Linked DNA regions of Callithrix jacchus. The protein of the gene in region 2 interacts with the protein of the main gene of each other region in a pairwise test. Links are inferred from orthologs where the notes say so. Each region holds a gene or a part of one and is shown on either strand. Other genes may lie near its edges.

The links.
Region 1: the proteins of UBQLN1 (region 2) and AGPAT5 interact in binary tests that used the Homo sapiens proteins (3 or more experiments, as listed by UniProt). The two-hybrid records come from large-scale screens. The link is inferred for Callithrix jacchus from reciprocal best matches to the Homo sapiens genes UBQLN1 and AGPAT5.
Region 3: the proteins of UBQLN1 (region 2) and KLHL42 interact in binary tests that used the Homo sapiens proteins (3 or more experiments, as listed by UniProt). The two-hybrid records come from large-scale screens. The link is inferred for Callithrix jacchus from reciprocal best matches to the Homo sapiens genes UBQLN1 and KLHL42.

The regions. Positions count from the first base shown.
Region 1 is NC_133514.1:9,548,104-9,551,755, reverse strand, and holds part of AGPAT5 (1-acyl-sn-glycerol-3-phosphate acyltransferase epsilon), read right to left. Parts: intron 571-3,652; coding exon 450-570; intron 334-449; coding exon 274-333; intron 1-273. UniProt on the Homo sapiens protein: Converts 1-acyl-sn-glycerol-3-phosphate (lysophosphatidic acid or LPA) into 1,2-diacyl-sn-glycerol-3-phosphate (phosphatidic acid or PA) by incorporating an acyl moiety at the sn-2 position of the glycerol backbone.
Region 2 is NC_133502.1:99,308,468-99,312,219, forward strand, and holds the start of UBQLN1 (ubiquilin-1), read left to right. Parts: upstream 1-1,010; 5' UTR 1,011-1,072; coding exon of another isoform or gene 1,073-1,124; coding exon 1,125-1,304; intron 1,305-3,752. Other genes in the region: uncharacterized protein LOC103792470, read right to left, coding at 672-1,010, 1,073-1,126. UniProt on the Homo sapiens protein: Plays an important role in the regulation of different protein degradation mechanisms and pathways including ubiquitin-proteasome system (UPS), autophagy and endoplasmic reticulum-associated protein degradation (ERAD) pathway.
Region 3 is NC_133510.1:43,423,013-43,426,664, forward strand, and holds part of KLHL42 (kelch-like protein 42), read right to left. Parts: intron 2,223-3,652; coding exon 1,771-2,222; 3' UTR 1-1,770. UniProt on the Homo sapiens protein: Substrate-specific adapter of a BCR (BTB-CUL3-RBX1) E3 ubiquitin-protein ligase complex required for mitotic progression and cytokinesis. The BCR(KLHL42) E3 ubiquitin ligase complex mediates the ubiquitination and subsequent degradation of KATNA1.

The DNA.
Region 1 (3,652 bases), on a different chromosome or scaffold from region 2:
GCACCTGGAACAATGTGCACGTGGGAACATCGCAGGGATTAAGGGAGTAACACTAGGTTCTAGAGATCCCTTACTGAAAAGTCACTACTTAGTACTGAGTTGTCCAACTACTAATACCAACCTCTAGGGAAAGAAACCATAACAAAATGAGAAAAGAGTCAAGGAAAAATTAACTTCTGATTCCACTTAAGAAGTGTCAGCTCCACAAAATTACACAAATTTACCAAAAAGGGAAAGTAAACTAGGTATATGTGGAGTGCTGTTTTTCCTTACCTTCCATCGTAATGGCACAGAGGTATCCCCAGTTACACGGGTGTATTTCATGCTTCTGCACTAAAAAAAAAACTCATCTAAGAAGTTCATTTAACTAAAGAATCTTACCACAACTCAAACACTTACTTAAATGCTCTTGGAAGAAATCTAAACTTACACATCAAACTGGTACATACCTGGGAAAGGTGTATGCAGTGCAGGAGTAAAGGAAACTTTAACTTTCTCAAAATATTGTGGCTTTATTTTGTATGTATATTTATAATTGCATCTGTATATAATTGCATGTATATATTGTATCTGTGATTTTAAAATAGAAAAATAAGGCATTAAAAACCTATACACAAATGCAACCTGAAATAACTGGTTTGTTCACAGAGGTTCATCTTTATAAAGTGTAAAAGTAAGAGTTCTAATTGCATTTCTCTAGGATGTTCCTATACGCCTAGTGAGTTAACCCACTCTCTAACCAGAATTTAATTGTGTTAGACTGGAACTGTATTTGACTGGGAAATGTTTAATTTCCTATAGTAAAAGTTTTTATTATTCTGCTTAAACAAGCAAATACAGAGGCACACCCAAACCTACACAGTCCTATTACTCTCGGCTAAAGTGAAGGAAGTAATTTAAGATCTATTTAAGGTCTTCACTGAATGATGAGTAAGCAGAGAAGAGTAAAATTAAGGATGCAAGCTACAATTCGTATTCTCATTAGGACTACAGATATTAGAGAAGACGCTGGGCAACGCTACAGCAGAAATGCAGAAAGAATACAGACGTGTCATAAAGGGGAGTAGTAGACTAGATCACTTGCAAGGTCCCCTCTCCACTTCTAAATAAGCATGTTTCATTCTGATGAAGGGCTCCTTTTACAGCCAGATTCAGAATACAAATTTAACTCATCAGGAAGTTAGGACTAGTTTGATAAGCAGTGCTACAAAGAGAAAGATCCAGTTATAAATGGTCTCTAGATGAAAAGCCTTGACTGTTTCTGAGGAACGTGGAACAATGTTTCAGTTAAGAGTATGAATCGGCTGAACATCAAGGTATGGTGAATCAAGGACAGATCACTTGAGCCCAGGAGCTTGAAACCAGCCTGGGCAACATGGAAAAATCTTATCTCTACCAAAAAGAAAAAAAAAAAACAAAAAACAAGAATTAGCTCAGCATGGTGCTGGGCACCTATAGGGAGGTGAAGTCAGGCTGAAGTGGGAGGACCACTTGAGCCCAGACACAGAGGTTACAGTGAGTGGGAATTGCACCACTACACTCCAGTTTGGGCAACGATGTGAGACTCTGCTTCAAAAAAAAGTATGAATCCTTAGACAAGTTAAGAGCGTATTATAGAAATGTCAAAATCTTAAATTCTTTATCTTCTTTCTTGTGTTTTTCAAACTATTTTATAAAGCAGGTCAACTGAAAACCTGTTTATCTTAAGACTGTGCATTTTATTGTTATATTACACTAGCATTTTGGGAAGGGGAGATTAGCAGTCAGAGTCATTTAATGTAAAATATATTTTGAAGTAAACTCCAAGTGTTACCAACTAATTTAAACAAGATAAATTGGTAATTATAATATTAATTAGAGGCAGGGCATGGTGGCTCACATCCGTAAGTCCAGCACTTACAGGTCAAGGCAGAAGGATCACCTGAGTCCAGGAATTCAAGACCAGCCAGGGCAACATAGCAAGACCCCATCTCTACAAAAACTTTTAAAATTTAGCTAGAAATAATGGCATGCCAACAGCTCGGGAGGATCACTTGAACACAGGCTTTCAAGCCTGCAATGAGCCATGATGGTGTCACTGCCCTACAGTCTGGGTGACAGAAGAAGACCATGACTCAAAAAACCCAAACCCCAAACTACTCTGTGTTGATAATTTTTTAGCCTACAAATTTCAATGATCAGTCTTCAGCGTATTTCATAAAAAGGGGGAAAAGAATTTTTTAAAAAAAAAGCAGCAAAGAAAAAAGAATTCTAACATTTGAAGACATTCTTTTAACTTCTAACAGCTTCATGAAACATGCTAAAAAGATTTTTCATTATTTATCATAAATATTACAGTTATTGTTTATGCAGCTATCTCAACATTTAGGATATATCTAGATCCCGAGGATAGAATTCTAGGCTATAAACTAACATAAATCTAGTTTCACTTCAACTCATGATGACAGAATTTAAGCTAATTTCATTCCTTTTTCATGAGTCCTACCCACTCCTTTGCCAGTCCTCCAACTTTCCTTTTAATTTCCCGTAAGTTTTCCTTAAACTCCAGCTCAAGGATACACACATAGCCTCTTATTCTGAGTATCAAAGCATTCCATATTCAAGTCACTTCCTATCCTACAGATAGGGCTTTTCAGTGGTAAACAAACCAAATACCAGTATATTCACCATGTTACACATAATAGTCTTAGCTTAGAAGTTATATTACCTTTAATTTATAAATATTTGTTATTTCTATATATATATCATATACATATATCATATACACATATGTATACCTAAATATATATCATATACATATATATTATATATATAAAATCATAAGACATAATTTCAGAATCAGTTAAGAATTAAAAGAATACCAAAATATGAATAAGTTGATTATTACATGGAATACAGACCGGTTCTGAAAATAGAAGTTAATCAAATGCTCTGTTAAAGGATATGTGAAGGTAAATCTGCAAATAAGAAACTAAGATTATGGGAAAGTCAGAAAACTTATTACAGAAAAAAGCAGGTTCGCTGTTAAAGAAAGCACAGACCAAAGTGATTTCATATGTAAATACCTAAAGCAATAAGGCAAGTTAAATTGAGAAGTAACTACAAAATACTGAATAGGTGGAACTATGGAGTTCATTATTGTGGTGAGTTGAATGGCAGCCCCTTTAAAAAATGTGTCCACATCCTAAGCCCTGTAGCCTGTGAATGTTTTCTTATTTGGAAAAAGGATCTTTGTAGTTATAATGAAATTAAGAATCTTGAGATGAAGAGATCATCCTGGATTATCCAGGTGGACTCTAAACCCAATGACAAGCATCCTTCTAAGAGAAAGGGAGGGTGAAATGTGAGACAGAAGAGGCCAGGGCCAGGATTGTGAGGCCAGGTTGAAATGACTCTGGCCCAAGCCAAGGAATGCTGCCAGTCATGAGAAGCTGAAAGACACAAGGAATGGATTCCCCGCTAGGGCCTCCAGAGGGAGTACAATTGAGCCTACACCTTGATTTCAAACCGTTGGCCTCCAGAGTCACGAGACAATACGTTTCTATTATTTTCAGCCACTTAGTTTGAAGTGATCTGTTTTGGCAGCCCAGGAAAGTAACACAAGTACTTGAATCAATGATCTGTACTTGGCAGGTAAACCACAGTTTACCTA
Region 2 (3,752 bases):
TGGGTGGACACTCCTCGACACCCTGTTCGGCTCCACACACTGTAGGAACTCGAGTTCACAGAGAATCTGGGAGGGCTCGCGCACAGCTGTCATCACAGCAGCAGAGGTCGCTGTCATGACAGCAGCAGGCCACTGTCAATACAGGTCGCCTGATCGATCGTCTGACCAAACCAGGCTGACCTGAGGGCAGTATATAAGCTCTGGCCATGAAGCATTGACTCCGCGGGATTGCGCAGGGCAGTCACGGGCGTCTACGCCATTTTCCGTTCGTTGAGCTGAGGGCCTTTACCCCAACTCCCCCGCACAGAGCAATACGAGCCCTCCAAATATCAAACTCTAAATGTATTAAAATAACAAAATACCTCGCCGCTATTTTATCACCAGACCCTCCTCCCAGCGGGGAACGCAGAGTACGCAGAAAGGCAAGGCAGGCCAAGGCGACAGTGAAGGCGCGGAAGGATGAGCACGGGCCAGCCGGGCATGAGGTAAGGTAGGAAGACTACCTATACCGCGAGCGCGCAAGCGCATCAGCGACCGCAGAGCCCAGTGGTCTCTTTCTAGTAATTTCGCTAACCGTGACGTCATCTCTGCGCGCCGTTACAGTGCTTAACTACAAACTGTGATTTAGTTTTTGGTGAAGGGAGTGGAAAAAAAAAAATGAACTGACCTACCCCGCCCCATTTTGGTTTCAGTCCTTCACGCTGGCTTCGCCTACACTTTGGGCAATGGAGCGGGAAAGGAAAACGCACGTAGGCTGAGCTCAAAGCGGTGCCAGACGGGGATGACTCGGCGACGCCGCCAGACGCGTTACCCGGCGTGCTCCGCGCGGGGCCGGTGGAGGGACGTGGGGGAAGGGGCAGGGAGGAGGAAGCGGTGGCTGCTGCGGATGTGGATGTGAGCGAGCGACGCCTGAACACACCGCGGCTGCCTAGCGCCTGACCCGGGCCTGCGCCAGAGCCTGCACTGAGCTCTGAGGCCCCACACCCGTTAGGGTGGCCCTGCGCCCGTTGCTACTGAGGCGAGGTGCTCTGCATTCTTCGCTGCCCAGGCCTGCCGGCTCCTCCTCGCTCACCCGCTCCCTCCTGCTCGCCTGAGTCACCGCCGCCGCCACCACCGCCGCCGCCATGGCCGAGAGTGGTGAAAGCGGCGGCCCTCCTGGCTCCCAGGATAGCGCCGCCGGAGCCGAAGGTGCCGGCGCCTCCGCGGCCGCTGCCTCTGCGGAGCCCAAAATTATGAAAGTCACCGTGAAGACTCCGAAGGAGAAGGAGGAATTTGCTGTGCCCGAGAATAGCTCCGTCCAGCAGGTGAGGCCGTCTGGGGCTCGGGCCGGGGTGGGGGTGGCGGCAGGACCTCGGCCTGCAGCCTCTGGAGACCTTTTGGAAGGGTATGGGGAGACCCTCCGAGGTGCCCTCGGCCATTCTCCCGGGCGTCGTCCCAAATAAGATCACACCCCAAGTTCGTGGGTTTGCGCCTTGGGACACCGCAGTGGTTTGTGGCGTTGCCGCGCGGCCTGTTTGTGGGACCGGCCGACGCTGCTTTTCTCGGAGCCTTCCTCCTCTAGCATCCGTCGCCCCTCAGCTTCCTCCCCCAGTTCTCCCTCAGTCGCCTCCCCTCCAACTCTTCACAAAGGAAAGGGACCCACCGCCTGGTTCCGGGCGGGGTGGAGGCTGGGCGGGGGCGAGGGTTCCCTTAGCTCAAGCTGCGATTTTGTTTAATGAATTATTTAAAAAGGGTGGATAGGATCCTCATTGTTTTACCTGCCTGTTTGTTAAGGTAGGTTTTGGGGTGAGGTGCACGTATACATTTAGTTCTGCATTTTAACTCCTGAAATCTTTCCCACCTTGAAAGCTTTCTTAAAAAAAAAAAAAAATTATGACGTAGAAATCGTTTTTAGCTCCTTGTTAATAGTAATAGTACTAGGTTTAAGGAGAAATATGAATGAATGATGATGACTTGCTCTTTCCCTTTTAGTATGTTTGTCGTTTCTTAGATGCCAATCATTCGGTAGGTATTTGTTTGATTTTAGAGGGGCGAGAGCAATGTTGATATTAGCGGTTGCAACCAAATAAAAGAAAATTGGAGTTAATGGAGAATGGTACTTAAGCTTTGTTCAGGAATACAAATCTTGCTGTTAATTAAGAATCTTGGTGGAATTTAACAAATAATTTTAGTGTATTGTTGAATATGTCGTATTTTCCATAATTATTGACTTAATCGCTGAAGATCTCAATGTGAACAGTTTGTGACAGGAAATAAACAGTTCCGAAAACGTACCTATAAGTTTCCTCAGGAATAGTAAGTGATTGGGGTGTTGGTTTAGCGAATTCCAAAGGTAGTGTGTTTTGTGAGGCAGTGAGGTGTGTAACATCAAATAACAGAAACTTTTACCACCATCTGAATTATCACCTTTTTTTTTTTTTTTGTCTCCCAATGCTTGTGAAAATTTTCCTTACCATTTTTGTATTTTCAAACATACAGAAAAGTTGAAAGAATTTGGCAGTGGACACACATGGCCATCATCTACAGTTAGCATTTTACTGTATTGTAATTAGTTATAAGTCCATTTTATTTTGGGGAAGCAATTCAGAGTAAGTTGCATGTATCAGTAGATGACAACAGTACATGTCACTTCAGCGATGTGAACTTACTTGCTCATATTCAACTTCATTTTTTACGTTTGTGACCTAATTTTGATATGCAATGAAATGCATATGGTTGTAATTCCATGAGTTTTCACAAATGCTTACACCTGTGTAACCCAAGCCCCATCAAGATATAGAACATTGTAATTGACTAGAAAGTTTTTTCTTGCCTTTTCCCAGTCGTTTTAGTAGCTTTACCTTCCATCAACCACCTCGCCTTTTTTTTTTTTTTTTTTTTGGTGCTGTAAATTAGAGGAGTCTATAGTACTGTGTGTATTTTTCTGGGTAAGGTGTTTTTTTTTTTTTTCCCCACTCTGCATAATGTGTCTGAGTTTCGTGTTCGTATATCAGTAGTTCCTTTTTATTGCTATGTAGTTTTCCACTGTATGTATATACCATAATTAATCTATTCACTGTTGAGGGTCACATGAGGTGTTTCCAGTTAGTTACTACGGACAGTCTTATACAAGTTTTTTGTGGACTTACTCTTTTATCTTTCATGGTTATATACTTAGATTTGGTTTGAGTAGGTCATAGGGCAATTGTGTGTTTTAATTTTCTGAGAAAGTATGTTTTTAAAAACGCTTGTGGGCCTGGCTCGGTGGCTCATGCCTGTAATCCCAGCACTTTGGGAGGCCGAGGTGGGTGGATTGCCTGTGGTCAGGAGTTTGAGACTAGCCTTGGCCAACATGGTGAAATTCTGCCTCTACTAAAAATACAAAAATTAGCTGGTTGTGGTGATGGGTGCATGTAATCGCAGCTACTCTGAAGGCTGAGGCAGGAGAATCATCGCTTGAACCTAGGAGGTGGAAATTGCAGTGAGCCAAGATCAGGCCCAGCGTGGGCAACAGAGTGAAACTCCATCTCAAAAAAAAACAACAACCCAGCACTTTGGGAGGCCGAGGCGGGTGGATCACGAGAGATCGAGACCATCCTGGTCAACATGGTGAAACCCCGTCTCTACTAAAAATACAAAAAATTAGCTGGGCACGGTGGCGCATGCCTGTAATCCCAGTTACCCAGGAAGCTGAGGCAAGAGAATTGCCTGAACCCAGGAGGCGGAGCTTGCGGTGAGCCGAGATCGCGCCATAGCACTCCAGCCTGGGTAAC
Region 3 (3,652 bases), on a different chromosome or scaffold from region 2:
TTTTTTTCAGAGGTTACTTTTTTAAGGGCTTAATATTTGGGAATAAATGGGCACAGCTTAGAAACCCTTACAAAGTTATAAGTAGACTAGAGATAAGATTATTTGGTGACAAGATACAAAGATCTGTTTCTATGTCCAAAATAATGGCTTACCTCATTTAACTTAATAGAAGTATTCCCAAAAAGTTGTGCAAAGAGGCTTTTTATAAGTGGACCCTTATTTTAAGTATACTAGAGGCCATGGTTGTAAAGAAACCCTGTAGTGACTCCTAGAATAAACTGAAAAACTCTAAGTAATTAGCCCCGTCCTACATCTGCATAGTGGACGGCATATTGCAGGCACTCAATAAGTGTTTGCGGAATGCATGAATTTGCTGACAGTGATTTTCCCCCAACAGGATTTTCTTAAAGTGAGGCACACACTAACTGAAATGGTTCTGCCTGCTGTTATTGCAGAATGATGGAATCCAGCTCACAGTTGAACTGATTGGATTACAAAATATCAGATAATTTTAGAGCGTTTTTCACTCAAAATAAAAGTTCTGTAAGTATGAGTATATATATTTTTGAAGAATGCTGATCTGATTGGCAGAAACTTTTATTGTTAACTCCCTCAGTGAAAACAACTGCTTGAGCTGCATTCTATTTCAATTCACAACCAAGGCAAGTAAAGCACTTTACCTAACTTCAAAAATACTACCAGAAGCCATTCCACTTCTGTAAGGGCTTCTTCCTTACTCCAGCACCTATGTTTAAATGCTGTCCTTACCTTAGTCCACAAAAGCAAAACATTAATTACAAAGCTAAGATTAAATTAGTTGCCTGACTTAAATATGGTAAACTTTTTTTAAGTCTTGAAATAAGAACTAAGTCAAATACATTCAATAAAAGTAACTCTCAAAGGCAAATTTATGTCTTATTTGGTGTTTTCTTCCCTTCCCATTTAAATTTAAGACTCAATTTTTTAAAATATTCATATATTCATTTTTCTAAATAATATATCCTCTTTAAAATACAGAACACCTAGCAATGCAACCTATGTGGCCACATAAATATGTAATCTGCCACATAAATAAAATAAGAGGTTGTATCAATCTATTAATCCAGCATTTGTACCTGCAAAGAAGGCTGGAAAAATGGCTGAGAATGTTTTTATGCAAGTTTTGAGGAGGACTGAACACTAGCAAGGATTCATTGTAGGGCTCCATCATTGTAAGTTTCCTAAGAAGTAGAGTGCAAACAAAATATCTGAACACAGAACCCTATTTTAAACATACTAGATGTATGTGTGGGTATGCTTGACGGAGAAGAGGGAATGAATATGTTAATACGAATGCTTGTCAAGTATACTGGCAAGAAAAAGAAAATCTCTCACATAAGGTGCTAATGATATGTAAAGGGACCTAAATACAACAGATTTTAAAAATCATCTTTACCATTTGTTCCAATTATTGACTTTGGCCCTTTACCATGCAGTCACAATGAATCTATATTTTGATGATCCGTCATTGGCCCAAGAGTATCATGTCTGGAGATAGATTTGCTCCCATAATTTAAAAATCAATAATTTTAAAAATAACAAAGTTGGTCTCTTTTTTCCACAAGTTTTCAAGTAATTAGTTCAAGTAAGCTTATTTACAGCTGCTACTGTATATATGTGACCTATTTTAACCCTTCTTTACCCTTTAGGAATCAGTCTCCCTTGCAATGGGACACTACGTTTTTAAAAAAAATCTTGAACCAGTTTCTTTCATCTACGAATTCAATTCAGTCATGTTTCTGCTTTATTGGGCAGATAAAGAGAAGACACCAGCAAGTTATGTCCAAAAGCTGGAAAACGCCGAAATGCTTCCCAACTATCTGAAAAGATGTTGTACTTGAGGAACACTCGGTGTTCCAAGCTGGTCGACAGGGTGACGTCTCTGCTCATGATGTAGATGCCATCGTTATGGAGTGCACAAGTCAAGTTAAGACCCGATTTGGACGTGTTCTCCTTGAGGTAGAGCCACTGCCGGGTGACGGTGTTGTAGGACTGCACGGTGAGCATGTCCTCACTCTGGCTGCTCCTGCGGTTGGGCCCCAGCTCGTGGAGACACCCCCCCACGATATAGATGGTCTCCTCCACAGACACCATCTGCTGCTTGCGAATGTGGACGTCACAAGTTTCAAAGAGGGTCCAGATGTCAGAAGAGGGGCAGTACTGCAAAATGTTCATGTTCCGGTCTGAAAGAAAGAAAGATAAGTGATGACACCGCCCCCACTAACACCATTAGGCGAGGCTGCCCAGAAATGTCTACCTCTACCTGCATAATTTGGTAACAAAGAGAAAAAACTGTTTCGGAAAAAGCACAAGTTGGTAAAACAGTTTTCAAAATGGCTGGGAAGAGATATATTTAGATCCAGCCACACTCGCCTCCTCCTCCCAAATATCTCCTTGGGAGACTCAGACTGGATAAAACCAGGGAAAAGAGCAGCTCTGACTTTCACACAGCCCCTCCTCCCTGGTACCCGCCCCCACACCTTTGAACCACCAGGTCAGGGCAAAAAAACTAAGTGCCTCAGAACTCTCATCAATAGCTACAAAATTACCGACTACTTAATACAGAAGCCAGGCTGATCAGCAACTACATCTGTCCTTGACAGCTGATCCTAAGAAACATGACAAGTAGCAACATAGGCTCTCCAGAGGCTGTCTAGTGAAAAGGACACAACGTTACAAGTCAGGAGGAACGCAGCAGTCTCACCTGCAGCCTTCTACCAAGCCACAGAATCACTTGGCAATTCGGTTTTCCAATTTGTTTTTATTTGTAAAGACTGGGTCTTTACCATGCCCAGCCTTAGTTTCCCAATTATATCACCAGAGAGACAATAACAAAGGTCCTCCCTCTCCCTTTTCCCATTTCCCAAGAGATAGTTGCAGTGTAGAAAACATCAAAGTCTAGATAAAAGGCTTCTCTGGCATTTTTAATTAATAATGATTTTTGGCCAGGCATGGTGTCTCAGGACTTCACCATTTTAGGGGGCTGAAGCAAGAGGACTGCTTGAGCCCAGGAGTTCAAGAGTTCAAGACCAGCCTGAGCAACATGGTGAGACCGCCCCCCCCCCGCCTACAAAAAAAATAAAAAACTAGCCAGGCATGGTGGTATGCACCTATGTTCCCAGCTGCTACTTAGAAGGCTGAGGTGGGAGGATGGCTTTATTTAGCCTGGGCGGGTGAGGCTGCAGTGAGCTGTGATCACATCACTGCATTCCAGCCAGGGTGACAGGGATCCTGGTGTCTCAAAAAAAAAAAAAAAAAAAAGGTGATTTTCTTTAAGGAAAAAAATTGCCTAGTCTCTTTGTGAAAAATGCTTAAGAAATTTAGAATATCTAATTTTGCTTTTCTTGTTTTTAATTGTTCTCTTTTTCTTTTCTCCTCTAGGAAAGAATAAATGAGTATTTTAGCTTCAGCAGAAAACACAAATGCTCTGAGTTATAAACAGAATGTTGCTGTTTTTTCTAAACAATAAATCCTAACCATGAAGGAGACAGCTCAGCTTGGGCACTGGCAGACAACTAAAGCCTACAACATTTTGATGGCTGCAGATGCTGGTAAGAGAAGACAGCTCATTTTCTCAGAAGTTTCATACCTCTTTCAGTTCTTCCTTCTGAAA